4 linked regions of the Struthio camelus genome follow. The protein of the gene in region 2 purifies or fractionates together with the protein of the main gene of each other region. This does not show direct contact. Links are inferred from orthologs where the notes say so. Each region holds a gene or a part of one and is shown on either strand. Other genes may lie near its edges. The genes, in order: XPNPEP3, VIM, NES and GAN.

The links.
Region 1: the proteins of VIM (region 2) and XPNPEP3 purify together in Homo sapiens (affinity purification with mass spectrometry; 3 studies listed by BioGRID and IntAct, with this or other methods). This does not show direct contact. The link is inferred for Struthio camelus from reciprocal best matches to the Homo sapiens genes VIM and XPNPEP3.
Region 3: the proteins of VIM (region 2) and NES purify together in Homo sapiens (affinity purification with mass spectrometry; 3 studies listed by BioGRID and IntAct, counting the BioPlex papers as one, with this or other methods). This does not show direct contact. The link is inferred for Struthio camelus from reciprocal best matches to the Homo sapiens genes VIM and NES.
Region 4: the proteins of VIM (region 2) and GAN purify together in Homo sapiens (affinity purification with mass spectrometry; 3 studies listed by BioGRID and IntAct, counting the BioPlex papers as one, with this or other methods). This does not show direct contact. The link is inferred for Struthio camelus from reciprocal best matches to the Homo sapiens genes VIM and GAN.

Annotation. Positions count from the first base shown.
Region 1 is NC_090942.1:57,098,766-57,106,039, forward strand, and holds the start of XPNPEP3 (xaa-Pro aminopeptidase 3), read right to left. Parts: upstream 3,014-7,274; 5' UTR 2,890-3,013; coding exon 2,829-2,889; intron 1,037-2,828; coding exon 920-1,036; intron 1-919. Other genes in the region: ST13 (hsc70-interacting protein), read left to right, coding at 3,307-3,602. UniProt on the Homo sapiens protein: Catalyzes the removal of a penultimate prolyl residue from the N-termini of peptides, such as Leu-Pro-Ala. Also shows low activity towards peptides with Ala or Ser at the P1 position.
Region 2 is NC_090943.1:23,968,597-23,976,445, reverse strand, and holds the start of VIM (vimentin), read left to right. Parts: upstream 1-4,847; 5' UTR 4,848-4,982; coding exon 4,983-5,524; intron 5,525-5,772; coding exon 5,773-5,833; intron 5,834-7,849. UniProt on the Homo sapiens protein: Vimentins are class-III intermediate filaments found in various non-epithelial cells, especially mesenchymal cells. Vimentin is attached to the nucleus, endoplasmic reticulum, and mitochondria, either laterally or terminally.
Region 3 is NC_090971.1:3,563,686-3,571,463, forward strand, and holds the start of NES (nestin), read right to left. Parts: upstream 3,003-7,778; 5' UTR 2,871-3,002; coding exon 2,058-2,870; intron 759-2,057; coding exon 634-758; intron 151-633; coding exon 77-150; intron 1-76. Other genes in the region: BCAN (brevican core protein), read left to right, coding at 6,739-6,862. UniProt on the Homo sapiens protein: Required for brain and eye development.
Region 4 is NC_090951.1:6,219,734-6,226,830, forward strand, and holds the start of GAN (gigaxonin), read right to left. Parts: upstream 3,008-7,097; 5' UTR 2,912-3,007; coding exon 2,745-2,911; intron 1-2,744. UniProt on the Homo sapiens protein: Probable cytoskeletal component that directly or indirectly plays an important role in neurofilament architecture.

The sequences.
Region 1 (7,274 bases), on a different chromosome or scaffold from region 2:
CAATCTCCAGTATTTCAGCTGTGAGTAGTTTTTAAGCATCAGTCTCATTTACTGTACCCTGTTAATCAGGGCCCTGAGCAACCTGATCTAATATTGAAGGTAGCTGAGGTTTGAGCAGGGGAGTGGATCTGACGACTTCTTGAGGTTCCTTCTGACCTGAATTATTCTACAATTTATACATATGTTATACACCCCCGCCCCCATTCTCTCTGTATATATAGCTGCAGAAAAAGTACACAGCATATTTTCCTGGACTCATTCTTGAATATATTTTTTACTTTCTTTTTTTTTTTTTTTTAAGTTTTTATCGCTGTCACCTCACATCTACATGCTCATTGTCCCTAATCTCACAACCCTGCACACTCTCAACTGCTTTTCCATCAGTACCTGCTAACCTTATAGTGACTAGTCTCCCTTTCTTCTTCGTAGCTTGAAGGCCTTTCTGAAAAGAACATGCTTCTTAAGCAAGTGGCGCTCATCTCTCAGTAAGTCTCTCTCCAAACTTTTTCTGAATTGCACCTCTCTTTTTTGACTCACAAGATGTTGTACATGAAGTATTCTGGTAGTTTAGTCTATGCAAAAGAGTCTTCCCTAATATAAACCATACTGCACTTGCAGGACAATTTGCTTACAAGATGCCACTGCCACAAAACATCTACAGTGCTTTAATCAGTGACACAGAACACTCCTTGGGAAAAAGGTAAAAAAGCCAACATGTAAGCTTATTTTTGGAATCGGTATCACCTCAGACAGGGAAACTACTAAATAGTTACTACCTAATGAAGCTAATCATAAACAGGTGAAATCATGGACACCTGCATCATGCTGCAAATCAATACTCTGTCCTAATCATTATCTCAGGAAAACAGAGGAAAGAAAGAATACCAATGACTGGCTCGTACAGGGCCTGAAACCTAACCTGGTTTGAGAAGGTGTGGGTGTGTGAAGGGGCTGGGCTGACCCAAATACCGGTTTGGAATCTTCTTCTGCTGGGCAGGCTGGAGGGAAAGTCTCCGGAGAGCCCATGACTTGCAAGCTAGAGGAAAAGAAATACATCACATCAAGGTAAAAGACCTTTCCAAATATCAAATTGCAAAATTACACTCCAGTCATCTGACTCTTAATAGCATTAATTCAACCTCTATCACAAAAATATCCTTTCTTAACTTTTCAACTTGTTGCACGTACGTTTGCTCATAAAATTGTCATTGTACACAACTCAACTAATGATCAAATATCCATAAAACAGATTAAAAGAAATCAACATACTTAAATACTGACAAACCAGCACAGAAACACAGAAAGCTAAGCCAGTTTGCACACGCTCAGTTTCAACATCTTGCGTTCGTGATGTGCTCAGTGTTCTCCCTCCCTCGCTCCCCTCAGACACTGCAAGGTTTGAAGCATCACAATCACCCAGGTCGCCTGCATATCAGCATGTCTTGATTACACCCTCAAAAACCATCTCCTATGTAACAATCAGCGTTTAGAGCCTTTCCAATTCTTTTTTAACTAAAAAGAAGCCATCAAATACTACTGCTTTTACAGTAATGTACAAATTTTTTTGGAGGGAAGATACTCAAGTTTCCCTCATCTGTTATGCATCTAGCTTACTTAGCAGCAATATTTGCCAAACTGGAAAAAATTCCTCAGGAGCATAGTTATGTACCCCATTTCCAATCTCACAAACCACTTATGCTGCCAAAGAAAACAGCTTTACGCAAGGCAGCTGTGTGTGAATTGGGGAGCTGGAGGAGGGCACAATAAGACGCAAGATAAAATTAAATACCGTGAAATATGTCTCTCTCTGCTGGCCCTAACAAACCTTACCAACTCCGGATTTCTCAACTACATTTGCAATTGAAGTATTGCTTATGTCTAGATACAAGTTATCAAACACAGGCAAGGAGACGGTAATCAGTTTCCTAACCTCTAACAGCTGATGTTTTGTTAACTAATTCTTTTACGTCACTTGCCACGTGCCTACTATAAAATCAATTTATGCAGCTCTGGCACAGTACCGGATTCTCAGCAGAAGTGATAATCAGCTCTTTGATGGCATAAGCAAGCGTAAAGCTGTTGCACATGGACACAAGAAAAAAAGCTGCCTACCTTTCAGGAAGCCAAGACACAGGGACTTATGCATAGACTGTATGCACAGACTGGATTTTCTGAGAGAACCAATATGACTATCTACTAAACAAAGATTATTTATGTAGGACAACTGAATATCATAGCTTAAAGTATACTATCTGTTTCAGTATGTGATGTCTGACTGCCACAACAGTCTGGAAATTTAAACAATAAAGTATAATTACTGCTTTCTGTGCAGTCTGAACCGAGACAGCTTTCACTTGTGTCTACCTACCTACAGGGAAGACAAACAGGACATCTCGCAGCGAGACAAGAGAACACAACAGGCATCAAACAAAACAACGTTTTGAACACAGCGGGCAGCTTTCCAAATTGTTGCTTTATTTTTCAAGTAAGAACTCGTCCTTTCCTCAGATTTATCCACGACCGGAGCCACGACTTCGCCGCCGAGTCACCTCCCCCCCGCGCCCACCGCAACGCCGCAGGGAGCAGGACGCGAGCGCGGCCCCCAGCTCGCCCGGCCCCGAGCGCCGCCGGGCCGCCAGCGATGGACGGCAACAGGCTCTGAACGGCGACAACGCTTAACGCGACAGTAGCCCCCCGCCCCGGCGCTCCGGGCTCTCCCCGGGGCCCTGGGGACAGAGGCAGCCCCGGCCAGGGCCGAAGGGGGCAGCAGGGCCTGGTGGCACCGGGCCGCTGAGGTGAAGCGAGGCGGGAGGAAAGGAGTCTCTGACCTGAGAAGCCGCGCCAGCCCCTCACCGCCGGGACGAGCCTCTGGGCCGCCAAGCGCGACATGGCTGCGGCGCGCCGCGCCCCGCCAGACCCCCTCCGTCCCCCCCACCCCCACCCCACGCCGGCCCGGCGCGCACATTGCGGGGCCTTCCGCCGCCGGCGCGCACGGACGCCACCAGCGCCTGACGCCATCGGCGGGCGCCGCCGCCCCGCCCGCCGATGCCGCCAATGAGCGGCGCAGCGCTGCCTTAGGTGCCCGCGCCGACCGCCTGCCCCGCGCCCCGCTCGGGCGGGACGCGCGGCGGGACGGTCGCGGCCCCGGCGGCGGTGAGGAGAGGCGGGCGACGCCACTGAGGAGAGCGACGCCCGCACCTCAGGGAGGTCGGCCGTTTAACGGCCACCTCCGCTTCTAGAACGTTCCGGCCGCTGCGCGGCGGCGGGGTGGGGGCGGGGCCGCGGCGGCGGGCGGGGCGTCGTGTCATGTCGTATCGTGTCGCGTCGTGGGGGCTGGAAACTTCCACGGCGCCGCGCGGCGGTTGGGCGGGGAAGCGGGCGGGCGGGCGAGCGGGCTGGGACGGAGCTGCGCTGCGCCGCGCAGTGGGCGAGCAGCAGGAACAGCAGCAGCAGCAGCAGCCGCCGTGGCCTCGGCCTCCCCGCCGTTCCGCCATGGACTCGCGCAAGCTGAGCGAGCTGCGGGCCTTCGTCAGGCTCTGCAAGCAGAACCCGGGCCTGCTGCACACCGACGAGCTGGCCTTCCTGCGCGAGTGGGTGGAGAGGTCGGTCACGGGCCGGGCCGGGCGGCGGCGGCGGAGACGTTGAGGCGGCTGTTGGGGTGGTCCCGCGCGGGGCCGTGTGGGGGAGGGGCGGCACGTGTCGGCGCGCGGCCCCGCCGCGTGGCCGGGAAGGGGGCGGGGGGGGGCCCATCGCCCGCGGCCGCCCCTGGTGGGGGGGGGGGCCGCGCTCCCCCCTTCGCCTCCCTCCCCCCCCCCCCCCGAGCGTCTGCTGCCCTCTCGCCTCGCAGGTCCGGCGCGCAGTCGTTACGGCTCGTGTGTTACATATATTACGCATACTATATATATATTTTATATATATATAGATATATATATATATGTAGAGTCTCTCTCCTTTTTTTTTTTTCTTTAAACTCGCTCGCTCTTCTCATTGCAAATGTACACCCCCCCCCCCGCCCCCGGCCATTTCAGTGGCTTACCTTCCCCGGCTGGAAGGCCCCGGAGTAATATTTAGCGAGCTAATTCTCGCATTATTCAGCAGAGTTGGCTAGCCTGACTTAAAAGGATGCGAGTTTGTGGGGAGGTGAGTGGCGCTGATTTACATCCCGGCACCCCAAAGCGTTGAATATCTCGCAGCTCAAAGCGAGAAGTGGTTCGTGCCACAAATTTGCTTAATTGTTGGAAGTTTTCGCGTGTCGTGCAGTTGGAGTCTTGCTCCCTTTGAGGCGTTTCGTACGTGTGCTGCTTAAGGCTGTAGTTCCTTTTTTTTTTTTTTTTGGTGCATTTGAAGCTTGTCGTGGCAGATGCTTCTCAGTATGAAAACGTCACTGGATCTCCCCCAAAACTCGAAGTTGGAAGAGTTGAAGTCTGTTACTGCTCGTAGAGACCCCACAGAACCTGTATGTTCAACTGGGGAAACATCTATCTGTTCAACTTTCGGGGCCGCATCCCTCCTTGCTTTGAAAAACGTGAAACAATGAGGGAAGTCCTCGCAGATACACCTCTCAGGGGAGAAAAAGTTTTTATTCAGCGTCAAATTTGAATTTGCTGTGAAATGCATCTGAAAGTATTCTAATGGCATTTTCTGCCCTGTTGTAATTAGTTGGAAAACTAGTGGGCTGCTTTTTTCTTTTCTTTCTTTTTTAAAGTAAGCACTGGCACTTCACAGTATGCTGTGTAACGAAGATTGCTTTAAGCTATTTGTTGGATCTGTTTTTTAAACTGATGTTTAAACCTTTTAAAACATTGTATACTCATGCAATAGTGAAAACACACCTACTTAACTTTGCTTGGTTTTACAGTAACGATTGTAGCTGCACGTGTGCCTAGGAAAGTGATGCACTTATCTTGTATGCTAGTGCGGGTCCTCAGCCCCTTTGCTAATGTATAAAAGACCTCAGTCACTCACCCGAACTTAATTCTATTCTTCTGTTGTATGATTCTGAAAGTATGAACAGAGTATTGGGCAGAGAAGGGAGACACTAACTTTTGGCCAAAAAAAAGTGTTAGGGAAGTGGAGCCTCTGATTTCTAATTTTCTCCATGCTGATATGGAAAGCTCTAACTTGCAGATTCATTTTTAGTGTTTATGTTTGGTTAGTACCAGGGTGTGTGTTTTCTTGCATGTATTGTAAGTATAAAATTTAGGTTTGGAGGTGTGGAGTGTTTTTTCTATGGAAAAACTTTATTGGCTGTCTTTGTCTCAGATGTTAACTTACTCAAAACAGGACCTTATAGAGCTCTCTTAATGTTTATTGTTTCCTCACTTATTTAAGCTAAATATTTGGGTAAATTATATACTTGAATATTTGGAGTAGTAGCCAAACTACCTCTCATGTCAAACTGGAAGTTTGGCGAGTTCCCTTCCATAATAGCAATGTTTGCAGTCAGACAATGACATGTTTTTTTTTAGGGTTTTCTCATTATTCAGAAGCTACTTGAAACTTACAATGGCTCAGGTTCAGGAGAAATATATCTGATCGGTTTTGTCATATCTTTGTCAGGCTTGCCTGTATTAATTTAAAAGGCTTAGGTTTGGTCATGAGGGTAATGTTGCAAATGATTACACAGTACTGACTAAATGATACTGAAATCTATCATGAAATTTTCAGCTAACATTCTAATATAATTGATCTGACGTTTTCTTAAAACTGAGAATGATGCTAATTGCTGGGGAAGCCTGAGGGTGGTGCTTGATTTCTGACTGAATGTTAATGTTACGTCAGAAACCTTAAGTCGTCTTTCACGTTTTCATGTACTTGTTATCTACTGATCTTTATTCTGTATAGCTGATCTATTTCATTTATTTATAGATGCTTGTAAAGAATATACTAATGTATGATTATATTTGGAAAGGGTTCTGATGTCCTGTTTGTTCCAGCTTATTTCTTTCATAACTGCATAAACATATAAATATTTTAACATGAATCATTGTAAAGGGAGTCGTTACATAGGGGCTGTATTTCAAAAACCTGCAGTTGAACAAAGAAAACAATAGCAGTCCTTAAAAGTAAGGCACAAAGCTCAATTCATGAACAGGGGTGGGGTTTTTTTTGCCTCTTTGTTGTTTTTCAGGAAGATTTTGTCCCTTTGAATTTTCTGTAATCCGGTTCATCTTTAAAGATAATTGGGTATAAGTGAGCAAACTGGATGGAGAAATGACAATTGCAGTTCTAAGAAGTCAGAAAAGCAGCACTTCACATCACTGTGATCAGTGGAAGTGTGGAGTCATTATTACAACGGAGTCCTTACAAATTCTCGTGTGTAGTTACCTGAATTGCCCAATTCTCTCACCAGGTCTCCGCGCAAAGGCTTATTTTAAAATGGGTTTTTTTGTGCATTTATACTGCTCAGTAACTGAGTTTTCATACAAGAGTAACTCCTGTGCTATATGTGTAGACTGTTGAGTTTAAATGCATTGCAAATTTTGCACGTCCTCGCTGCACGTTTAATCGTAGTGTTTTAAGGAATGATTTTAGAGTAACTTGCTTTGGGATTGTTCTGGAATTGCAAATCTAGATTCAGTGGAAGATAACTAGATAGTAACAGTATTTTTAAGGGACTGGGAATAAAACTGTGTTTGTGAAAGCAGTTTGTGCAGTTCGGCAGTTCTGAAATACCGTATTGGGAAGTGCATAAATACCGGTTAAGCGCATCTCATAGACTATTTTAACGATTCTTTAATAAAGCCCTAGGTAGGGGGGGTTGGGCAAGTGAAGGGGGCAGAAGAGACTAATCAAGTTGTTCCAGCCTTGGGATGTTTCTAGGTTTCAGACTTACAAACAGCTGATATTGAGACCAGTAATTTGGAATTGCTCTGGAATTCTAATCCTGCATTTCATAAATATATGATGGAAGCTGGGAATCAATTTTTGACCTTTTTTGAATTAGAGGGTTCTCAGTCTTTTTCCGATAGACCTAGTAGGTGAGCCAGGCTTTGAAGAAGTCTTGTTGTATAAAAGAAATATTGCAGTGTTTTCAGTAAGCGTTAGATGGATAGGTGTAGATCTTAATTTCTGAGCATTGTGCTAACCTGAATCTTAGCTATTAACACTTCTAAAATCCTTTAATAATTACAGTTCCCTTTTGATGTGCAGAAGAACAGATTTCTTTGGTTCACCTACTCTGGTCCCTATGATGTCATTCTTTTAGTTGTTATGTCTGACTTCTCTTGAACTGCTTGTTAGGAGAACTAGGATGAAAACTCTGGAATTTATAT
Region 2 (7,849 bases):
GGGCAGGTTGATACAGAAAACATCCTCTTCTGGCAACTGGAAACCACAGTAGAGGGGAACTTAATGCACAACAATAATAATTTTGTAAATGTAAGTCGTGCAATTGGGTGGCATGAGTCACACTCGAAACACTTCCCTAGTGATGAAAGCCCCAGAAGTTTCATATACTTCTAATTACATTAAAATATAATATTGCAGAGAAACTTGGTTAGTTTTAAGTATATAACCTAGCCATTTCCTTGAAGAAATCAGTAGCTAGTCACACCACTTAGATGTTTTGTAACAATGGCAACTACCACAGGCAATATAATTTTAAAAATAAATTTCATTAAAGAATTTGTCAGTTTCTTTCTTAAGTCCTTAGTTAGTCAAGGAAATTATTCACAAGGGAGGACTTAAGTGCCTGAACATTTAGGTGTTCTGCTGCCTTGTGGTGTTCAGACCCCCAAATCAGCTTATCTCATGCAATGTGCAGGGAGAACTACTCCCTGGGTCCAGGAAAAAACAGCTCTTTTCCTGGACTCTTAGGAAGTTAACCTCAGCTAACTTGTACAAAATGCTAAATTGAGGCTACAGTGAACACATCCCATCTTGGGGACTCTTAGTCACGCTTAGCTCCCAGTTACAGGGAGATACCTGCTGCTTCTGCTCAGGATTTATAACCAGAATCTTTTTTTTTTTTTTTCTCCTCAGAAACAGGAACCTAGGACCTTTCTGTTTTCAAATGACTGAAGACTTTGTCTTTTTAAACAAGGACGTCTTCTTCCTTTTTAAAGGAGGAAGGACTCTTTTTCACCGGTAGTTACAGAATTCACACAAGTTTAGGTTCCAGCACTTGGTGTGTCTGCGTATTACGGTGATTCCCTATTCAGCTCGCTGTAGGACATTCAGGGTAGCAATCTAACAGTCTTTCGTATCCTCATGTGCAGACTGGTCCATTTTGCTTGGAGTTTACTCAGTATTCATGGGGCCATGGGAAATGTGAAGAAATGTCTCCATAGCGCAATGCATTCCAGTCCATCCTCTGAAAAGGATTTAAGGTTGCTTTATCGTACTGACAACAAAAGTGATTGCATTTGCATAGCAGGATATTTTTCCTGGATGCTTAATATTTATGGCTCATTTTATACATCGTGGAAAAAATGAGCATTTCATGTTTTAAAGTAGAAGCTTTATTAAAGGGCACAAATCTGATTAATGAAAGTATTCAAATCTTTTTGTTTAGCAGAAGTCTGTAGTAATGGAAAAGCACATTCAGTGTCTGGGCTAACTTACTCTAGTTTCCTACTGCTTAAATAAAATGGCAAATCAAAAAATATGAATGCCATTATTTTTGGAAATGTGTTCAGACCTACACATAGTTGTTCAAGAAAGTCAGAAAAATTTTGGGTTGCATGAGACTTTCCCAATTTTAGTAGAACAGATACCAAAGCAGTTTAGGCATCTGTACCTTCTCCCTGTTCACACCCGTTATTCACTGTTAATGAGAGTTACACAGCAATCCAATATTTTTTGTGACACTTATTCAGCCTTATTCCTTATTTCAGTCTTGGCTGTGAATCAATGCATCAATTCCCTGGTGAAAAGGCAGAAAATACCAAAATAAATTAGCTGTGGGAACTGAAAGGCTCATATTAAAAATCTCTGTTTCTTTTCTTAAGTGTGCCAGTGGCTTAGCTCTGATCTGCCTCTACAGAAATGCAGGTGAGAGCAGTACAGCAAGCTGAAGGAGCAGCCTGTCGGAGTACTGGAATTACAAATGAAGGCATAACAAGAAACAGTGCAGATGATCCCTTACTAATGGACTAGTTCATGAATAATCCTCAGTGTGGTGTTCAGTGATGTGCTATTAGCTGTGTATCCTTTGCATAAGTAGTAGTCAGCCTCCTGACCAGCCATGCTCTTTGAAAATCCCATAGCACTTTCCTTAAAATTAGGCAGAGTACTGTGGTTTCAGTTCAAACAACTACACTCTGCAAGATTTCTATGGTTACACTTAGATACATTATTTCCTGACCAGTTCTGTAGATATCTTTTTGCACTTCAAGAAGACAGCAGTTCTAGTTCCCCTTTGGGGTTTGGGATGCAAATGTGGGTTACGTTTATTACAGCCTTACAGGAAATGTAGAGCTTACTCTACTTAGGTATCTATGTAAGTGCCGACCAGCAAAAGGCACTTACAGGTTTATTGTAATCCTGGCAATTGACAGTATCATAACACTTCTAGGAAAATTTGATAGTGAGAAACAGCAATGAGGCAGGTGGCCAAGAGTACATATGGCAGAAGTGACATAACATATGGAAATTACACTTGAAACATGGAGGAAAGGGGTAAATGTATTTGCTAAAACAAACACCTCCCTGAGTTTTAGGGGCAAAGCAGTTTCTGAGTGAAGGATGACTGCTGCATGTATGCGCCATAAAGAGATTTTGTGGAGTACAAATAAACTATCTTCTGTTAGGAAGAACAGAGGGTTGAATGGGAATAGTGCACCTTTAAAAAAACAACCATCTCTTAAAACTCCCAGCACTTCTGAGTAAAGCATCTTTAATCTATGAGGCTGTTTGGTATGTGCTGCTTTACTTTTTTGCCTGCTCATACAAGGAGTGTGTACTTTTGTGCCAGGATTCACAAAGGCTTATAGCTCAGACTTGATGGCTTAAATAAAGAGCTCTCAGAGGGCTGGAGAGCCCGGCAGAGGCCGGGCTGGGATGGCGGTACAGTCAGCCCCAGGAATGCTGTGTGACCTCTGCCTCCTATTCAAGGACTGAATGAAATGAGCTGTAGACCAGGACTCATGCTGCAAGCACTTCAGTAGCTCAACCTTGTCAGCTTCGTTTGCTTGACTAAGCTTCAGTGAACAATAGCAAATTAAAACCTCACAGACCTACGTTTAGCTACAAACTACGTTCCTGTAACTTCTGGTCGCCATTCAGAATCAAACTAAAGCACAATCTCCAATACCAAAAAAATTTTAAAAAAATCCTCAAAAAATCCTTTGTGCTCCGATTCCTCCTCATGAGGTACAATATCTGACGAATGCAGGCTGACTTGACTGTGAGTTGGGATGCGAAAATTACCTTCCTCTGTGCCCTGTGTTCATGTTCAGGTTTATCAGAACTTCCAGTAAGTATATTTGCTTCTGCAGGACCTCAAGTTAAAAACAATTAAAAATTAATGGTAGTTTTGCATCCCATAGATGCTGAAGTACTACATTATGGATCTCTCTACATTCATACAGAAATCAATCTTAAGGAGTTTTTTTACTGCCAAATTTCATGCAATATTGCTATTGCCCTGTACTTCCTATATCATTCTTCTCTGTTACTGGTAGCCCCATTTTGATAGTAAAATTGCTCTTGAATCCCTGGGATTTTTATCTGAAGCCACAGACAGAGGATACTTCCAGATCGTGACTAACAAATACTTGTCATTTCACTGGGTGCTTTCCTAAGATTCTGATCTTGTGCCTACTGAAATCAATGCCAGCGTCTGTTGGGTACAACACTCGCAGACCCAAACCTTGGTTAAATTCAAGCCTGCCTCTCTCCTAGTTATGAGAAGGGTTGCATCCAAGAGCAGGAGCAAGATCTTCATTGCAGCTATTCCAAAAACGTATGCTAAACAATTACTTATGGCCTGGGACCAATGTTAAAATAATGACAGAATTCAGTGTGCCTCTTCACTAAGCCATGTAAACGCTCACCCAGATAAAGGGAAAAGGCGTATAGCCTGGGAACGTGTGTTGAACAGAGGCGTTGAACTAACACCGGGGCAGAAGCTGAGATTGCTGTGACAGGAGGCAGCTAATGACAAAAGGAGACACAGGCAATTTATTTCCCTGCCTGTTTATTTTGGACATTTGGCAGCCCTTTGTGAATAGTTAATAACACTTTGCCCTGATTGCATTGTTTCAGAAAGCTAAGAAAGAAAAGAAAAAAAGAAGTTCTCCAGCAGATAGATTATACTGTTTTGTTTTTTTTTGTTTAATAATCCTCCTGTGCTGTGCTATTTGAAGTATTTTGGCTGTGGCTTAACCTTAAAACTGGCAACCTTCCTTGCAAGTCACGGCGCTCAGTCAGCGCAGGAGCGCACCAAACTCAAGGGTTAGCTCAACGCGCCTTGCCGCCCCGCCAGCGATGTTGCTTCGCGCGCCGACCCCCGCGGGCGCGCAGCGCGGGGCCGGCGCCGCCGCCGCCTCTTCCTTCGCAGGGCGGCGGAGCGCGGGCCGTGCCGGCGGCGCGGCCGCTGAGGCGGGGGAGCCCCGGCGGCTGCGCGGCGGGGCGGCCCCGGCGCCGGGTCCCCGCTACGCCCCGGACCCCCCGCCTCAGCGGCCGCCCCCGCCCGCTGCCTCAACGGCCGCTCCCCCCGCCTCAACGGCCGCCCCCGCCCGCTGCCTCCGCCTCAACGGCCGCTCCCGCCCCCCGCCCGCTCCCGCCTCAGCGGCCGCCGCCCCACAGCCGCCGCCCGCGGGGACGGCCGCGGTCCCACCGGGACTCGAGGCGGGGGGAGGTTTGCCGGCCCTGGGGACTCAGTCGGCAGCGGGGGAGAGATGCCGCGGGCTGCCTGCGGGGAGGGGGAGAGCGGCCGGCCGTTACTTTTTCCCCTCGCCGGCGTCCCTCAGCCCCCTGCCGCCGCCGCATCCCGCCCGGCCCCTTCCCGCGGGGCCCTGAGTCACGCCTCGCGCCAGCCTTTGTGTCCTGGCCGGGCCGGGCTGGCTGCAAACCCCCGCGCCCCCCGCCCCGGCCCCGCCCGCTCCCCCTCCCTCTCCCCTCCCCCTCCCCCTCCCCGCGGGGCGAGGCGGTGGCGGGCGGCGCGGCCATTGGTGGCGGGCGGCGGGCGGGGCGGGCCCGGCAGGGGGCGCGGCGCCCCATAAGTAGGGCCTGGGGCGGCGCCCCCCGCTCTTCTTCGCTCGCCTCTCGCCGCCGCGCAGCTGAGCCGCCCTCCTCCGCTCCCGGATTACAAAGCCCGCGCCGCCGCCATGAGCATCACCACCAAGAACTCCTCGTACCGCCGGATGTTCGGCGGGGGCAGCCGCCCCAGCACCGGCACCCGCTACATCACCTCCAGCACCCGCTACTCGCTGGGCAGCGCCCTGCGCCCCAGCAGCGCTCGCTACGTGTCCGCCTCGCCCGGCGGCATGTACGCCACCAAGGCGACGTCGGTGCGGCTGCGGAGCAGCATGCCGCCCATGCGGCTCCACGACGCCGTGGACTTCTCGCTGGCGGACGCCATCAACACGGAGTTCAAGGCGAACCGCACCAACGAGAAGGTGGAGCTGCAGGAGCTCAACGACCGCTTTGCCAACTACATCGACAAGGTGCGCTTCCTGGAGCAGCAGAACAAGATCCTGCTGGCCGAGCTGGAGCAGCTCAAGGGCAAGGGCACGTCCCGCCTGGGCGACCTCTACGAGGAGGAGATGCGGGAGCTGCGCCGGCAGGTCGACCAGCTCACCAACGACAAGGCCCGGGTGGAGGTGGAGCGGGACAACCTCGCCGACGACATCATGCGGCTGAGGGAGAAGTGAGTGTGTAGGGCGGGGGGAGGAGGAGGAGGAGGGGGGCGGCGGCGGCCGCCCCTCGGGCCGAGGGGAGCGGGTCGGGCGCGGCCCGGCCTCGCGCCGCCGTCCCGGCTGCCCCCGGGCGGGCCGGGGCGGTGCCGCAGCCCCCGCGCCGCGCGGGCGGTGCGGAGTGGAGCGGCCGGGGGCGGGGGGCTCTCGGGCGGGTGGGGGCCGCGCTGCGCCCTCCTCACCGGCTTCTCTCCGCTCGCAGGTTGCAGGAGGAGATGCTGCAGCGGGAGGAGGCCGAGAACACCCTGCAGACCTTCCGACAGGTTGGTCACCGCCCCGACCGGCCGGCCCGTGGGGGCGGCGGGGGAGGGGGCCGCCTAGCGGCAGCGGCGGGCCCGTCCCGGCCGCGGCCGCCTTGCCGCCGCCGGTGACTTGCAATACTCGCGCTCCCCCGGGGCACCCAACAAACAAGGCAGCCGCCTGTATTTTAAGCGCGCTCGAAATAAGCAGCTGCCGTTCCCGAACCGCTGTATGGGAGAGAAAGTCCTGAGGTAGCGGCTGGGATGGGAGAGTGGGACTTGGAGTTGTGCTTCCCTTGCACAAAGGAATTCCATCGGTTCTCATGCACAATCTCCTTGTTTTCTTTAGGTTGATGCCACAGTCCAAGGGGGAGGGTAAAAACTATTGTCTTGCTTTATCCAAGTCTAGCCTATTTTACAAAAGGGCTCCGATGTGGAATCACTTTCTGATCCAATAAAAGTGAAAGGGGAGCCATCTGTTCGCTTGGCTGAAGGGTATTAATGGTTTCTATGGGATTCACCGTGGAATGCAGATACAGGCATTATGGCAAGTGTGGTGGCAGCAGATTGAAATAATAGAACTCTTTGTGTCCGAGGGGAGGGTGCAGTGGGCTGCATTCTTACTAAATGCGTAATGATGTAAGCATATTTCTAGAGAAAAGTGTCTGTCATGTATATGGTCTAGGCCTTATACAAAACAGAATTCCTTTTTTTATGAATCACTTCATAGCGCTACTAGAAAAGTTTTAAAGTTAAACTCTTTTGTATTGGTGTTGATGTCTGCTGATAAGTAGACCATTTGTCCCTTGGTGAGGTCACAGCAGTCAAGTTTTTCTCTTCTTATCGGTTTAAGAATGTAGAATTTAATCCTATGCAAACAAAGTTGTTAACACAGGAAAGCAGTTTAGTCTCGGTAGGAAGCTACCATGTTATCCAGATCAGCTAAAAGCTACATGATAAGTAGAACTAACTCTTCCAACAGTGTTGAAAAAGCTCTAAGCTCAGGTTTTCATTTGTGCAAAAATAGCTTTCAGTTTGGCTTAAGCCTTGTTTGGACTAGGAGATATTTAGGAATGCGCCTTCTCAAAACAAGATCTCATCCCTAAACCTGCTGGTGTGAAACAGCATTGCTAGAATTCTTCCCAGCTGAAAGTGACCGCCTCTATCTACAGACAGCTGGGCTCAGATCTGACTTGGTCACAAAGCTGTTCATATACATTAGTAGATGTCGCCATTCGAGAAGTCATCACTTGATTGTCAATATTTTCTTGGGCAAGGTTTTCAACTGCAGTATGCTTATATTCTCTAAAGGAGAACAGATGTCTTAATGAGATAACATGTAGAAATTAAGACAGCAACTGTCATTTAAAGTCTGGGAATTTAAAGTCTCTGTTAGTATTCTGGGAACAGAAGTTTGAAAAAGAAGAATTCAAGGTATGAATTAAATTCAAGCCTTAATTTAAGCTTCTGATTTTTTTGAATGCTAAGCCAATTTAAACGTGTGCAAAGGTCATATGTTTCTGCACTGAACTTTACTTTAGAGAATCTAATCTAGTCAGATTCTTTGCTGAATTCAGCTGGAGGATCCTTTGACTTAAGGTGGCTGGCTTAAAAGATCTTGCATGCTCAATTGTTCCACTTCAAGGCATGGCTATCTCCATCTCAAACTGATTCTACTTTTTTGTAGACTTAGACTCAAGGCCTTAATGAACTTGGTTTTATACGTATTCTACAACATTTATTATCCAGTTAATGCTTATGCTTTAAGGGGGGGGGTGGTCATTCAGAACCTCAGCCACCAGCAGATCTGTATGTGCAGTACAGCTAGGCCAGCTATATCCGTTTCACCTCTAAGGTACAGAATATGTAAAAATTGCAAATATTTGTGGATATATTACACTAAATCTGTGTATGTCTGAACTAGTGTATTATAGTGTGTTTAATTTGAACAATAGTAATATCTAACTTATCATAAGAGGGTAGGCTAAACATGCAGATTTTAAAAACTACATCTATTTAAATAGAAGTACTGTCTTTGGT
Region 3 (7,778 bases), on a different chromosome or scaffold from region 2:
CCCGTCCCCTTAACCCTCGCGGCGTCGGCCGCGCCGAGGCGGCCCGAGCCCCGTGCGCTGGCCGCCGCTCTCTTACCTCGCAAGCCGTTGGCCAGCTTGTATTCCCCGGCGGGCATTTGCAGCCGGGTGCTTTCTGCTTCCAGCAGCGTCCTGGAAGGAGAGGAGTGGGCTTACGTGGGCACGGCGGCGGGAGCATCCGTGCAAGAGCTGCCCCTGGGCTAGGTCTCCCTTGCTTTAGGGGTAAACTGAGGCACGGAGGGGCTAGGGATGGTTTTGCACAGCGTCGCTCCGGCAGCCTTGCTTGCAGCCCCGGCCTCGGCGCAGGGTCCGGGGCACCCAGCGGGCTGCGGGGCCGGGGCAGCCCTTTCCCCAGGGAACTGCAGCTCTTTGCAAAGGAGCTTCCCCCCTGGCCGGGGCTCTCGTCCCATCCCCCCGGCCCCGGGATTAGCGTCGGCGCCGGGTGACATCATGCTCTGGCGGGGAGGCCCCTTCGCCGGGGCTGCCCCTATTCTCATGCTAATTGTCCCCCCTAGTCCTCTCCCAGGCTGCCTTTGTCCGAGGCCATCTGGAAGGGCCGGGCTGGGAGAGGGGGCGCCGAGCTGGCCGCGGCGGTGGCCCGGCCGGGGACCTCACCTGTAGGTCGCCACTTCCAAGCTCAGGGACATCTTCAGGTGCATGAGCTGCTGCCTGTCCTCCAGCACCTGGGCGATCTGCACGCGCAGAGCCTGCTTCTCCTGCTCCAGGGCCTCGAGCGCCAGCTGCGGGCAGCAAGCACGGCGGGACGACGAGGTCAGGGCTGCTCTGCCGCCCGCCTGCGTCCCTGCTCGAGCTGGGACGTGGCTGATCCCCCCCCCCTCCACCCCACCAGCAGCGTGAGGGGTCTGGGTGGCTTTCACTGGTGGCTGATCCCTCCCTCCCCTTGGGCGCTCTTCCTCCCCGTCCTCGCCCTCTGGTTGCACGGGAAATAATCGCTCCGTCCCCCTTCCTGCCATGGGAGCCAAAGGACGTGGGTGAGCTGGCCGTGACTTGGCTCCAACAAGCGTCTACTTCCTAATCGGCGGCACCGGGGGAAGGACACGCTTGCCGGGGTCTGTGCAAACCCTGGGAGCGGCTCATGCTTCCCTGGGTCCCCGAGCATCCCAGGGGATGCTGCAGGGTGAGGGGTGCTGGGGGCGCTTGGCCTGGGCACGGGGCCACCGAGGGAAGGCAGCAGCGAGGAGAGCGATGCACGAGGAGAGGAGGGAGCAGGGCGCCAAAAGCGCGTGAGCCGGAGGCGGCCGAACGGAGGAGGAACGAAAAGGCCGGCTGGGCGGCGGGAGCCGGAGCGCGACGCCGGCGTGGGAAAGAGACGCGTTTCGGGCGAGCGGCCGCGACGCCCTTTCGCTCCGCTGGAGCTTTCGGACCTGGAACAAAGAGGGACCCCTTGCCCACGGGGCTGGCGCTCCGCGGTGCCGGTTGCTCCCGTCGGCGGGCCCTGGCCGTTCCCGGCATTTCCAGCCCCTTCTCCGCCGCGGCCCCCCCCGCCCGTAGCCTCCTCCGCTGAATTATTTTTGCAGCTGTCCGGCCGCAGCTGCAGCGAAGTCGGCTGGAGTTTGTCCTTCCTTTAAGCCTCCCCGCCGGCTTGACCCCGGTCCCGGCTCCCAGCAGCTGGGGGAGCGATGGCAAGGGGCTGCCGTTTCCCCTGGGAAAATCCGCCGATGCCGGAGGGGAAAAGCCTCCCGGCCGGTTGAGAAACCGAGTCAGGGCGCAGGGGAGGACCCGCTGGCTCAGAGGGGATCCCCTGCAGCGGTGCCGCCTCGGGTCCCTCTTGTCCCAGGGCCAAGGATGTCACCGAGCTGCTCCTCCTCCCGCCCTCTGCCTCGTCTCCCAGCTGCAACTTATCCCGAGCTGCTGCCGGGCCATCCGGTCCTCCCCAGGGCTCTTCCTCCTGGGATTTGCTCCCTCCTTGGCTTTGCTTCCACCTACCCCGGCGGCGGGTGCCTTCCCCCCTCGGGCTGCGCTGCCTTCCCCGAGACGGGGTGCCGACGCGGCAGCTCTCCCCTCCTGCCTTCACCCACCTGGAACTTCTCGGCCTCCCCTCTCTGCTCCTGCCACTGGCGCGACAGGCTTTCCTCCAGCATGTCCTTCCGCGCTTTGAGCCCCGCCAGGTCCTTCTCCAGGTGCCGCAGCTGCAGCTGGCTCTGCTGGTTGTCTTCCACTGCTTTCCAGAGGTTCTCCTTGGCTTGGCAGAGGGAGCTCTCCAGCTGGGACACCTCTGTCTTGTAGGTCTCCACGGCCCCCTTCCAGATCTCCGAGAGTCTCTTGGAGTAGTCCTCCACCTCCACGGGCTGGAAAGCCACCGACACGCAGCGAAAGCTCTCCAAGCTCTGCGAGAAGCTGGCGATCTCGTGGTCCAGCCCTGCTTTCTCCTCCTCGTGCACCTCCAGCAGGGCTTCCACCTCCTTCTCCAGCTGCAGGGCTCTCTCCTTCAGCCAGATCTGAGCTCTCCTCTCCTCTTCCAGCTCCTTCTTGCTCATGGACAGCTGCTTCTTGGCTTCCTCCCGAGCTGCTTGCTCCTTCTGGCACCTGCTTTTCACGTGCTGGATCTCCTCGTAGAGGTTGTCCCGGGCCAGCTCCGCCGAGCACTTCTCCCTGAAGGCATCGTCCAGTGTGGCCCGCAGGGCTCGTAGCTCCTCTTCGTACTTGGTCCTCCACGAGTCCTCTCCTGGGCTGCCCTTGGCGCTCTGGATCTCGGCTCTCAGCACCTCGTTCTCCTCTTCCAGGAACTTCACACGGGCCAGGTAAGCCTCCAGGCGCTTGTTGAGGTCCCACATCTGGAGGGACTCCTCGCCCAGGGCTCTGGTGCCCACCAAGCCCTCCATGCTCAGCATCGGCGGTGAGTGCCCGGACCGCTGCCCGAAACGCACTGGCGGCCGGCGCGGGGAGGGGAGGGAGAGGAAAGGCAGGCGCGGGAGCGAGTGGCTGGGAGAGGAGCGAAGCGGAGCTATTCATACTCCACGCCGGGTGAGGGGGAGGCCCCTGAGACCCAGGCGGAGGAGGAAGGCGGGGGGTTAACTCTTCCGCGGCCAGCACGCTGGTGGCCCCGCGCGTGCGTCCTGCCCGCTGGGGAGAGGGGACGCGGGAGCTCGCCGCCGGCCCCAGCCCGCGGCGGATGGCTCCGTCCCGACCGGCACGGGGGCAAGCAGCAGCCCCCTCCCCGGAGATGTGGGTCCCACGTGGGCACCCCAGCCGGGGGCTCAGCTCCATTCCCCCCCCCTCCTGCTTTTTGGGGGGTCTGTTTTGCACCGTCCCGACGACTTTGCGCGCTTGAGCCGGGGGGGGGATGCCTTGCCGTGCCTCAGTTTCCCCAGCAAAGCCGCCGTGATTGCCGTGCAGGGAATCGCTGCGGCGACGTGCCGGAGCTGGCGCCGACCCTCGGCACGGCCCTTTCGGGACGTTTCCGAGGGCAGGGTGGCAGCAACCGCCTTGTCCCCCCCCACCAGGGACGGGGGCACCGGGGAGGTCGGCGTCCCCCCCGTCTCCCCGCAGTGCTCCTCCCAGCTGCAAATCTCTCTCTTTCCAGATGTTGCCCCGTCGGAGCCGGGCTCCGGCGGCCGATCGCCGCAGGTTTCGCCGACGGCCCGAAAAAACTCGGCAGGCGCCAGCCCAACGTTTGGTTTTGCTGCCGGCTTTCACCCGCCGGGGGCAGATCTTTCACGGTGGGGTTACGAATCGCTTCGCGGGGGAGCGTTTGGGGAATTTTTTTTTTTTCTTAATTTTCCAGCTGATTTATTTGCAGGGGGAGGGGAGAGGGTTGGGGAGGAGCGGGGATGGTTTCAAAAATCCAACCTTGGGGATTTCTGCGAACAAAAGAGCCGGAAAAAAAAAAAAAACATTCGGATAGAAACTTTTCACCAGCTCTTTCTCTCCCAGTGCGACGGTGGGGTTTTTTTTTCCCCCCCCTCCCAGGAAGGTCCCTGCTCTGTCCTCGTCCTGTGCAACGGAGAAAAGAGCAAAAGTCCCTTCCGGAGCCATCCCGAGGGCTTGGCGCTGCCTCCCGAGAGACGAGCAACAGTCCCCTCTGCTGGCAAAGGCCACCGGCGAGCTGCCACCGAGCCTCTCGGGGCCGCGCACGCCGTCCCCGGCCCCTTTGGGGCGGCCGCCTCGCCGGTTCGGCCGCGCGGGTGCTCCCCGAGGGGATCGGCTTTCCAGCTAAATCTGCGTCCAGACATCCTGTCTGGTTCCCCCAGTTCCCCCCCCCCCCCGGCTCTGCTTTGCCGTTCGCGGCCGGGATTGAAATGCCATTAAGCGATAGGGGCGGAGGGGAGGCTGCGCCGGGTAATCGGTCTCCGGCTTGGAGATGGATCTTCATCTCCTCCTCTTCCTCGTGCTGCCACGCGATGGGCAGGCCGGGCACCGGCCGTCGGCGGTGCAGAGGCCCCGGGAAAGCAGCGAGCCGGGCCAGGAGGTACCTCTGCTCCGCCGAATTACGGGACGCGGTCCCTCTGCCTTTGGGATGGGGACGGAGAGGCGGTGAGCGCGACGGGTCCGGTCTGACCCGGCAGCAGCCGGAGGCCGCGTGCCGGAGCCCGGCTCGCCGCCTCCGGGCTGCCTTTCCCCATCCGTCCGTCCGTCCATCCCTCCCCGCAGAAACCCCGGCTGGGTGCTGCCCTCCGGCGCTTTGCACCGGCCGCTGGCAGGGAGAGCTAAGGCAGCCCTGGGAGCCAGTGCTTGCTAATTAAGGGATGCTAATTGGGGCAGGCTCGCTCCCGCGGCTCCGGGGCTGCCCTGCTTTTCAAGGCTCGTTTTTCGCGTGGGCAACCGGCTTCCCAGGAGCGGCCGAAGGGAGCCGGGGCCTGAGCGTCGGCGTCTGCCGCAAGGAGGCCCTCGATGCACGTCTCTCCTCCCTTTCCTCGCTCCCCCTCTCCTTCCCCTCCGGGGCCTCTTTCGCCGGCCTTTTCTGCAGCTTTTGCCCCGTCGAGCCCGGCGTCCCCTCGCCGGCCGACCTGGCACCATCTGGCTGGCAGATGAGCGACTAGATGGAAAGTCCTCCTGGGGCCGAGGATGTCCGTGTGTCCCTGTGGGATGCTGGTGGGCAGGAGCCCCTCGGGACGGGGATGTGTGGGGTGTGGGGTCAAGAGTGTCCGTGTGTCCCTGCGGGATGCTGGTGGACAGGAGCCCCTCGGGACGGGGATGTGTGGGGTGTGGGGTCAAGAGTGTCCGTGTGTCCCTGCGGGATGCTGGTGGGCAGGAGCCCCTCGGGACGGGGATGTGTGGGGTGTGGGGTGAAGAGTGTCCGTGTGTCCCTGCGGGATGCTGGTGGGCAGGAGCCCCTCAGGACGGGGATGTGTGGGGTGTGGGGTCAAGAGTGTCTGTGTGTCCCTGCGGGATGCTGGTGGGCAGGAGCCCCTCAGGACGGGGATGTGTGGGGTGTGGGGTCAAGAGTGTCCGTGTGTCCCTGCGGGATGCTGGTGGGCAGGAGCCCCTCGGGACGGGGATGTGTGGGGTGTGGGGTCAAGAGTGTCCGTGTGTCCCTGCGGGATGCTGGTGGGCAGGAGCCCCTCGGGACGGGGATGTGTGGGGTGTGGGGGTGAAGAGTGTCCGTGTGTCCCTGCGGGATGCTGGTGGACAGGAGCCCCTCGGGACGGGGATGTGTGGGGTGTGGGGTGAAGAGTGTCTGTGTGTCCCTGCGGGATGCTGGTGGGCAGGAGCCCCTCGGGACGGGGATGTGTGGGGTGTGGGGTCAAGAGTGTCCGTGTGTCCCTGCGGGATGCTGGTGGGCAGGAGCCCCTCGGGACGGGGATGTGTGGGGTGTGGGGTGAAGAGTGTCCGTGTGTCCCTGCGGGATGCTGGTGGACAGGAGCCCCTCGGGACGGGGATGTGTGGGGTGTGGGGTCAAGAGTGTCTGTGTGTCCCTGCGGGATGCTGGTGGGCAGGAGCCCCTCGGGACAGGGATGTGTGGGGTGTGGGGGTCAAGAGTGTCCGTGTGTCCCTGCGGGATGCTGGTGGACAGGAGCCCCTCGGGACGGGGATGTGTGGGGTGTGGGGGTGAAGAGTGTCCGTGTGTCCCTGCGGGATGCTGGTGGACAGGAGCCCCTCGGGACGGGGATGTGTGGGGTGTGGGGGTCAAGAGTGTCCGTGTGTCCCTGCGGGATGCTGGTGGGCAGGAGCCCCTCGGGACGGGGATGTGTGGGGTGTGGGGGTCAAGAGTGTCCGTGTGTCCCTGCGGGATGCTGATGGGCAGGAGCCCCTCGGGACGGGGATGTGTGGGGTGTGGGGGTGAAGAGTGTCCGTGTGTCCCTGCGGGATGCTGGTGGGCAGGAGCCCCTCGGGACGGGGATGTGTGGGGTGTGGGGTCAAGAGTGTCTGTGTGTCCCTGCGGGATGCTGGTGGGCAGGAGCCCCTCGGGACGGGGATGTGTGGGGTGTGGGGTCAAGAGTGTCTGTGTGTCCCTGCGGGATGCTGGTGGGCAGGAGCCCCTCGGGACGGGGATGTGTGGGGTGTGGGGTCAAGAGTGTCCGTGTGTCCCTGCGGGATGCTGGTGGGCAGGAACCCCTCGGGACGGGGATGTGTGGGGTGTGGGGGTGAAGAGTGTCCGTGTGTCCCTGCGGGATGCTGGTGGGCAGGAGCCCCTCGGGACAGGGATGTGTGGGGTGTGGGGTCAAGAGTGTCCGTGTGTCCCTGTGGGATGCTGGTGGGCAGGAGCCCCTCGGGACGGGGATGTGTGGGGTGTGGGGTCAAGAGTCTCCCGGGCTGAGGATGTCTGTGTGTCCCTGCAGGATGCTGAGGATCAGGAGTCTTCCAGGATGGGATGATCTGGGAAGCTGGTGGTCAGGAGTCCCTGGGGCTGAGGATGTCCATGTGTCCCTGTGGGATACTGGAGGTAAGGAGCCCCCTGGGATGGGGATATCTGGGATGCTGGGGGTTGGGAGCCCCCCGGGATGGGGATATCTGGGATGCTGGGGGTCAGGAGTCCCCTGGGCTGGGGATGTCTTGGATGCTGGAGGTTGGGGGTCCCCTGGGCTGGGGATGTTCATGCGTCCCTGCGGGATACTGAAGGTCTGGAGTCTCCCTGGATGGGGATGTCTGCGATGCTGGGCGTCAAGAGTCCCCTGGGATGGGGATGTCTGGGATTGTAGAGGTCAGGAGTCCCTGGGGACGACTGTGTGTCCCTACAGGATGCTGGGGGTGAGGAGCCCCCTGGGACGGGGATGTCCACGCACCCCTTCCTCTCTGTGGCCGCCTGGCCTGGCTTTTCCTGCCTCCTGGTGGGATGCAGGGAGACCAGGAAAGTCTGATTTGAGCTGGAGCACGTGGCATCCCAGGGGCCAGAGCCTGGCTGGCTGCCAGCGAGCTTGGCATGGGGGCATGCAGCGGGCGCTGGTACGTGGCTTCGAGCAGGGCCCGAGCGGGGGGAAGGAGGAGGAGGAGGAGGAGGAAGAACAGCTGGGCCACGGGGCTCCTTTCACCGCACCGTGAAAGGCTGTGACACAGCTGGGCGCCACGGGGCCGCCTGCGGCCGGCGAGACGGGGCGCTGGGAGGCAGTGGAGCCTGCGGCGGCGGGATGCGGGGTCGGGGCAGCCGGCAGCCCGGAGCCGGCTTGGCGGGAGGCTGCGTCCGGGCAGCCCGTCCGAGAGGCAATTTTTCTTCCAAATCGCTGGAAGAGGCTGGTGGAGCGAAGGAAGGGGGGCAGAAGGATCCGATAGCTGAGTCGACATGTGGTTTTCTGTGGGTCTGCGTCCGGGGACGGGAGCAGGGGATTCTCTGATGTCTGATAAGGGTTGTGCGCCTGCTGCCA
Region 4 (7,097 bases), on a different chromosome or scaffold from region 2:
ACTTCCATGCAAAACTAAAAAACAGGTAACGCTCCTCTCTCTGTGGCCACACAAATCCCTCAGCGTACAGACTCTGCTCACACCCAAGCCGCCCCCTCAGAAAATCCCATGCTTACTTATTTTCCCGCTCACACCCTAAACTAAGCGTTCATGCAAACCCTACACAGCTTCTCAACTTGCCCACCAACTTGCCCACAGCCAGAGCCAGAAACAGAAAGCAGAGCGCCAACTAGTCCTGCCACTGCTCCACTGCTAAGGGTAAATATCCCATACCCACCCATTTCTCCACCCAATAATATTTCTGAAATTAGTTACTAGATTTTCTGAGTTTTATTTTGGAACTTTCAAATGAAAGCAACGGAAATCAATTGATACTTGGAGACTTAAACAGACCTTGGAGACTTAAACAGCTTTGGTACCAAGGTACCAAAGTACCAAAGCATGCTTTGGAATCATCTAGTCTGCAACATAAGATTCATGAGTCTCCTCTAATAACTTTTTAGATTTAAAAAAATAAAAAAAAAAACCACACACTCATTCTATTAAAAAAAAGACTCAAAAGAAATGGGACTAAATATTTGCAGAAACTAGGGACAGGCTAACGGTGATTTTTGGCTCTAAAAAGAGTCACTGGAATGCTAATTTTGGCTTAGAAACTTAATTCTCCAATACCAGCAACCAACCCAACCAATTCTACTCAATGGAAAGAGCAGCTGGAATAAGAAAGAGATCCTGGAGTGGTGGAAAGAGGAGAGACAAGCAGCACAGGTAAAAACTAGGCTCTGCAAAGATAGGTAAGACAGATGAGTTTATATGCCATAAAAAAAAAATCTGGTATGTGTTATTTATGGCTCACTACATGTTGCAAGCCCAAGGAGAAAAGATGAGTAAGCTTAAAAAAAAATCCCATTTATATATCAATACGTGTAACCTACTTCACACATAGTTAATGAGTTCCTTGATGGCATCTGAACTTGAAAGATTTTAAGTTTAAAACACCACAACTCTAATAACTACACTGACAACAACAAAACAGTCATGTTTGGCACTCTGACTCTTCGCGTGTGCTTTATTAGCTCAGGTTTCCTAGTAAATTTTTCAGAGGTGAATGACAGAATGCAATACTTAAAGAGGAGATTCTGTGAAAAGGAACTTTTCTGTAGAATAATTTATGATATCTTTTAATTAAGTAGCCTTTTTCGTAGCAAAAGATTACACAGTTCATATAAACCCATACAATAATTACAGTAAAGTAGCAGTTTTTCCAAGACATGGCCTCTTTCCACCTAAACCAAACCTTTTTTCTCAGCCAAGGAGTCTTTGTTAGGACACTAACTTCAGATATGATGCAGGGCCATCTAAAAGATTCGTAATGACAAAAAACAAGCTAAAAAACATTCTGGCATTTTTGAAGAGTACTGGATCAACTGCTCATATTTATTTCAACCTCATGTCTCTGATTAGCCTTTCAATATAGTCTTCCATAACTGCTTCTCAAGACAGGAATTGAAAAAATGACTACTAGTACTTCAGCTTTTTAGTGTCATTTTGCAGGTCCTTGCTGCTCTTCTTATTTCCGTGAATTTTATTTCATTTTACCCCTCAGCCCTGCTAGCTGATGCATAACGCTAGTCCGTGTACTATGGAAAAATCAGGCGCTTAGATTTGAAATATCAGAAAACCTTTCCTTTAAGCCTGTCCATTACTGACATCTATTTAAAGCTTAATCACCAACTTTACGTTCTATTCATTCCTAGTTTATTTTTGTACTTAAGAATGTCGAAGCTCTGCTACAATCATCACTCAAAAATATCACACAGCCTAAAAGCACGCAGAATTACACGGCCGACGTCTGCTACAGTCTTACGATAACCCTAGGTGTAAGTAAAACCGAGGGGTGCAGTCCTTCACATGCTAAGGCAAAATTAAAGTCTCCATTACCTGCAATTGCTAAGACCTATCAAAAAAGAGAAACAATAAAACTATGGAACTCAACCCCTGTACGTTTCATTCACTCTCTCAGATCCGTACTATGAAAATCTTCCCACCGGGGTATGCTTTTTCTATTTTACGCCATTGGCGCCTTCACCGCTGAGCGTACAGGAGAGCCGACAGCGCTGCCCGGGGAGCGGGTTGCCCTGGAAGTTCGGCCCAGGGCAAAGGGCGCGCCGGCCCCCGGGGCACCATGACTGTGCTGAACGCTGCTGGTCCTCCTCTGGCTCGGCTCGGGCCGCACGTGCCGCTGACGCCCGCGGACCTGCGCGGACCTGGCTTGATGCCGCTGGCAGTTTCTGAGGTAGATTCGCACGTATTTGTGAGGGCATAAAAAAAAGAGGAGATTTTTTTTTTTTTGGGGGGGGGGGGGAATAAACCCGTACAGTTTCTTCACACTTAAGACGGGGTGTATTTCGGAATCCGTCACCACCGCCTGGAGCCTTAGGTGTTGTTAGAAGGAAAAAAAAACCCACTCATTAAAAAAAAAAACCCACCCAAACAACAACAAAACCCCCACCAAAGCGCCGGCCTCACTTGGCGCCTCCGGCGGACGCGGAGCCCAGCGCCGACAGGGGGGCCCCGCTCGCCGCCGGGGGGGGGGGGAGAAAGGCCCGGGGGGGGGGGGGGGCCGCGTTTCGGCGGCGCCCAAGGGCAGGCGGGGCCCCACCGCCAGCACCCGCCGCTCCCGGCCGAGTCACGGCGCCGGGCCGGGCCGTCCGTCGTCCCGCGCGGCCCCGCTCCCGCCGCACCTGATGTAGGGGCTGGCGGCCGCCAGGATGTTCTTCTGCACCGGGATCTCCTCCCCCTCCAGCACCAGGTGCGCGTCGCAGAAGCGGCTCTCCTCGCGGAAGGAGCTGAGGGCCCGCAGCAGCCGCGCCGGGTGCTGGGGGTCCGACACGGCGCTCGGCCCCGACATGCTGCCGCCGCCGCTGCCGCTCGGCCCCGCACCGCCCGCTCTCAGCGGCCGCGCACCATGGCCGCCGGCCCGCCGCCGCGCCCTGACGTCATCTCCCCGCGCGCCTGGGCGGGGCCGCGCCGCCCCGGGGGAGGGCGCGGGGGGGGGGGCGCGTGCCCGCGGCCCTGGGGCGCGTGCGCGGCGTCGGGCGCTGCGTGGCGAACAACGTTTTCCTTGTTGCCCTTTGGCGCTCACGTGTGACCGGTAGAGCCGTTTCCCCCCCCTCCCCCCCCCCACGGTGCGCACGCAAAACGCTGAAGCGGAGGAGGGTTAAACCGAGCGAGATGCCGGTGCAGGGAGCGGGCTGGGCCCGCCCGCTGGCCCTGCGCCCCTTTCCGGCAAATGGATTTGCTTTAAAAGGACTTCTCACGAGGTTTTAGGCCATGTATTTAACATACTTTTATTGCACGTTAGGGGATGGCTTGCTTCCACCTGTTTCTTTTTAATAGCGTCCAATAGTTCAGGCGTGAAACTCCGAATTTGCACCAACTGAAAGTGTTTTAAAAGCTGTCACCTACTTGAGTGTCGTTTCAGCCGGCGCTGCCGAGAGGAGGCAAACACGGGAGCGCAGCACGGGCCCAGGCGACACCTGAGGCGGCCGAGTCGGGTTCCTTAGCTTGTGAAATACCCTGTTGCAGGAGGAGATCTCTGTCTTTCCACTGGGGGAAAAACATGTTAGGTAGCGTGCTTCTATTATTTGCCCTCCTTTAAATCAGTGATTTCAGGCATGGCACTTAAGAATATGTCTATTTGAAAGGGGGAAAACTTAAAATTGTATTCTGTAGTTCATCCTAATCCAGTCTGGTAGTGTCACTGGAAAAATTAGAATAAAGGTATCTCAAAATGTCAGCCCGGGAAAGAGAAACGAAGGGCTTTACGCAGGCAACGGGGTCGTTGCAGAAGCAGACACCATGCTGTGCTGTTCTCCAGGTGGAGATTTCCCTGGGGCGTCCGGCACACGGACACCTCGCTAAATCCAAACTCTGCCACAAGTGTTTGCTCCAGAAGAATGCGAATAGCCCATTTAAGGCAGCGTTTTGGGTTCGCCCTCGCTCAGGTGCAAGGGAGCTTAGGTGCTTCGCTGACCGGAGAGGGAGGGTTGCACCGAGAGCAGTAGCGTGCTCCAGGCTTGCTGTGCGGCTTTGAACAAGTATTTTACAAGAAACGGTGAACGCGTTTCGCACACTGGCATGATGGAAGGCATAAAAACAGACTAATTCCTGTGAAACACCAGCTGCGCATGATTGGCGTAACGCAACATACCCACGTAAAAATATTAGAAGGCCACTTCTTCTGGCTTGGGTGTAATTATCCAGGACGGCGACTGTCCTCCTTCTGAGAGATGCAGAGAAGGCACATCCACAGCTCTCATGACAGCAGAGAGTGCTCTGCATCTTGCACTGCTGGCAAAAGATGTATTCTGCCTGATGTAATTAATACTTTGGTAATTGCATACTCAAGGGAGTAGTAGTTTAAAGTATTGTGAAAGCTGTCATTGAGCAGCCTGGTTATTTAAAAAGAAAAACACTGGCTTGTTTCTATGCCTCCTGCATGGATTATTATGTAGGAAAGCACAGTTGTATTTCTCTTTATTTATTATTTTTATTATTTTTCTCTTTGTATATATATTTAGTAAATAGGTCAAGTTAATTGATTCTGCTCCTGCTGTGTATGTGGGGCAATGGGACAGATAATATCCACTGTGACAGGACAAATTAATTATTATGTTTTGTTATTTGTTCCATTTAATGAAACCTGTTGATAAAAAAAACACTGGTAGGGCACAACTAGAGGGCTGTTTGTAACATCTTTGAAGTAATTATATGTATGCACACTTATGGCCTGATTCTGTTGCTCAACAATTTCCTGTTATTTTACATTTATAGAAGCTACTTATTCATACTATTTCTATTTGCAGTCACTGTGTCTAGATTCTTTTGCCATTAAAATAACTCCGCTGGTCTCACGGTGCTAATTTATGACAAATAAACATATACATTGGTGCAAAAGACGACTCAGACCCTTCTGTCCCTCAACATTTAATTCATAGTGAAGGATGTCAGGGAAGCACAGCAAATGACAGACTCGCTACCATCTGTCATGTTGCTACAACAGAAAAAAACCACAAGTCTTGCAGTCACTTGGCAAAACTTACAGGCATTCCCCACGGGTTTTGTCAGCCTGGACATGATATTGTGTATTACCGTCTTCACCTTAAATGTTTCACCAGGCTACTAGTGCAACTGCTAAAAACATTCTTGAACAAATTTGCGATTAAACATACTTACAGTCTGAACCACGTTGTTTCTGGTGCAGTAGGACCTGGATCGAATACTTGGATTGGCAAATCTAGATTTACATCACTATGCTTCTCTTTTCAGGTTGATTGCAAACATCATACTAATCACATCCTGTGTAATTTTGACCAAGTAAATACAGTGCACTTTGTTCTTTAAGTTAACTTTAAAAAATCATACCCCAAACAAGTTCTTGTAATTTATCTTCTGATGTCTTTCTAAATGAACATAACGTATTTGTTTTCTTAGATGTTAGATAACAAATCTGATTTATTTTTTGATGGATGTTCCCATATTATGTTATTTCTGTCCAGTGTGAATTACCTCCTCAGAAGCCAAGTATCTCCTGTATCCAAAATCATGATCATCCAAAAACATAAAACAATGTATTCCACAGATGAAATTCTGGACACAAACTCTTAAAAAGAGGTTTGTAATAGTGGTCAGACATTTGTTTTATGAGCTCTTTATAACTCCAGAAATCTTTATAGTAACTTTTTAAATATAAACTTTTGCAAATTAAAAAAACAAAACAAAACAGCCCTACAGCTGATCTCTTTTAAGTGGTACTTTCCCAATGTCAGAAATCATTCTTCCATTTTAGTCCTGCTTCCATGTTACTTATACAAATGGAATTCAGTTTCTCCTTTAGATGATAAAGTTCTCTTAAATAGTAGTGGTAATAACACCTTGAAAACATCAAAGATGACCATTTCTGCAGACATATCTTGCTGAGGTGTTTATTTCCATTTTATGGAATATATAAATATTTGAACACCCACAGCTGCATACCTAAACTCTAAATTCAGACCATGGTGACACTTTCTACGTTAAAAATAGGCTGTAGATTCTTTATACTTATAAACTGTAAAGACTTAAGCAGAGGAAGGGAGGTACCGCTGTTACAGTGCAAGCAAGAACCGTGGAAGATGTTGCTTCAATTTTTGCTCTGCCGTAAACATCTTATGCAATCATGAACAAGTCACCAAAGGCCAGATTCTCATCTGACAGGTAGACAGAAAATTACAATGATTTCATTCTGTTTCCTACCTGTAAAAAAGAGCGAGTAGCAGAGATGCTGTGATGATGGGTATATTGAAGAGCTGAAGTTACCCAGATCATGTGATGATACATACAGACCAAGCGAACACTGAACAGGGATAGATGTACCGCTAATTTTCTTCAACAGTAAAAGGATCTAAAATAGGAAAATGCAACTTAAAGAACAAAGGCTCTCATTTAAAGAAAAATCCATGCCCCAAATCCAAAACCAGAAATACACTCATGGGCCATTCCTATACCAAAAAAACAGACATAGCGTACCAGGTGTTAGAACTCTGGGTTGAAAGATGCTTTTTAACTGTGAGTGTGAATGAGAGAATTGTGTATTTCTGTTAGGAAGCATCTGTTAAAGGCAATGATCAGCCTGCATCAGAACTTGGATGCTCCTGAGCAGATAATAATGTAAATGCCTAGACAATAACAACAACAACACACTGCAGTTTTAGCTACTGAGTGGTTCAGATTAGGTCTAAATTCAGTCTTTCACTCTTCTACCTAAACAATTTGTTGAACGTGTGTATCTCAGTTATGCTAGAAATACACTGTTCTCATTCATATGCCTATTGTTATTAACAAAGAGACAAAAAGACAATGAACGGTATTAACAAATATTACCTTTTTATTTATCTTTTAGACAATGCAATCATCTAATTACTTGAAATGTCATATCAGATATTATCCCCAAGCAAAACTGATTTAAATACAAACTGCTTATAACATTGGGATTGAATACTGCTAAAGTGTAATTGAATGCTACATAAAACCATATATTCTGTTTCAAGTTATTC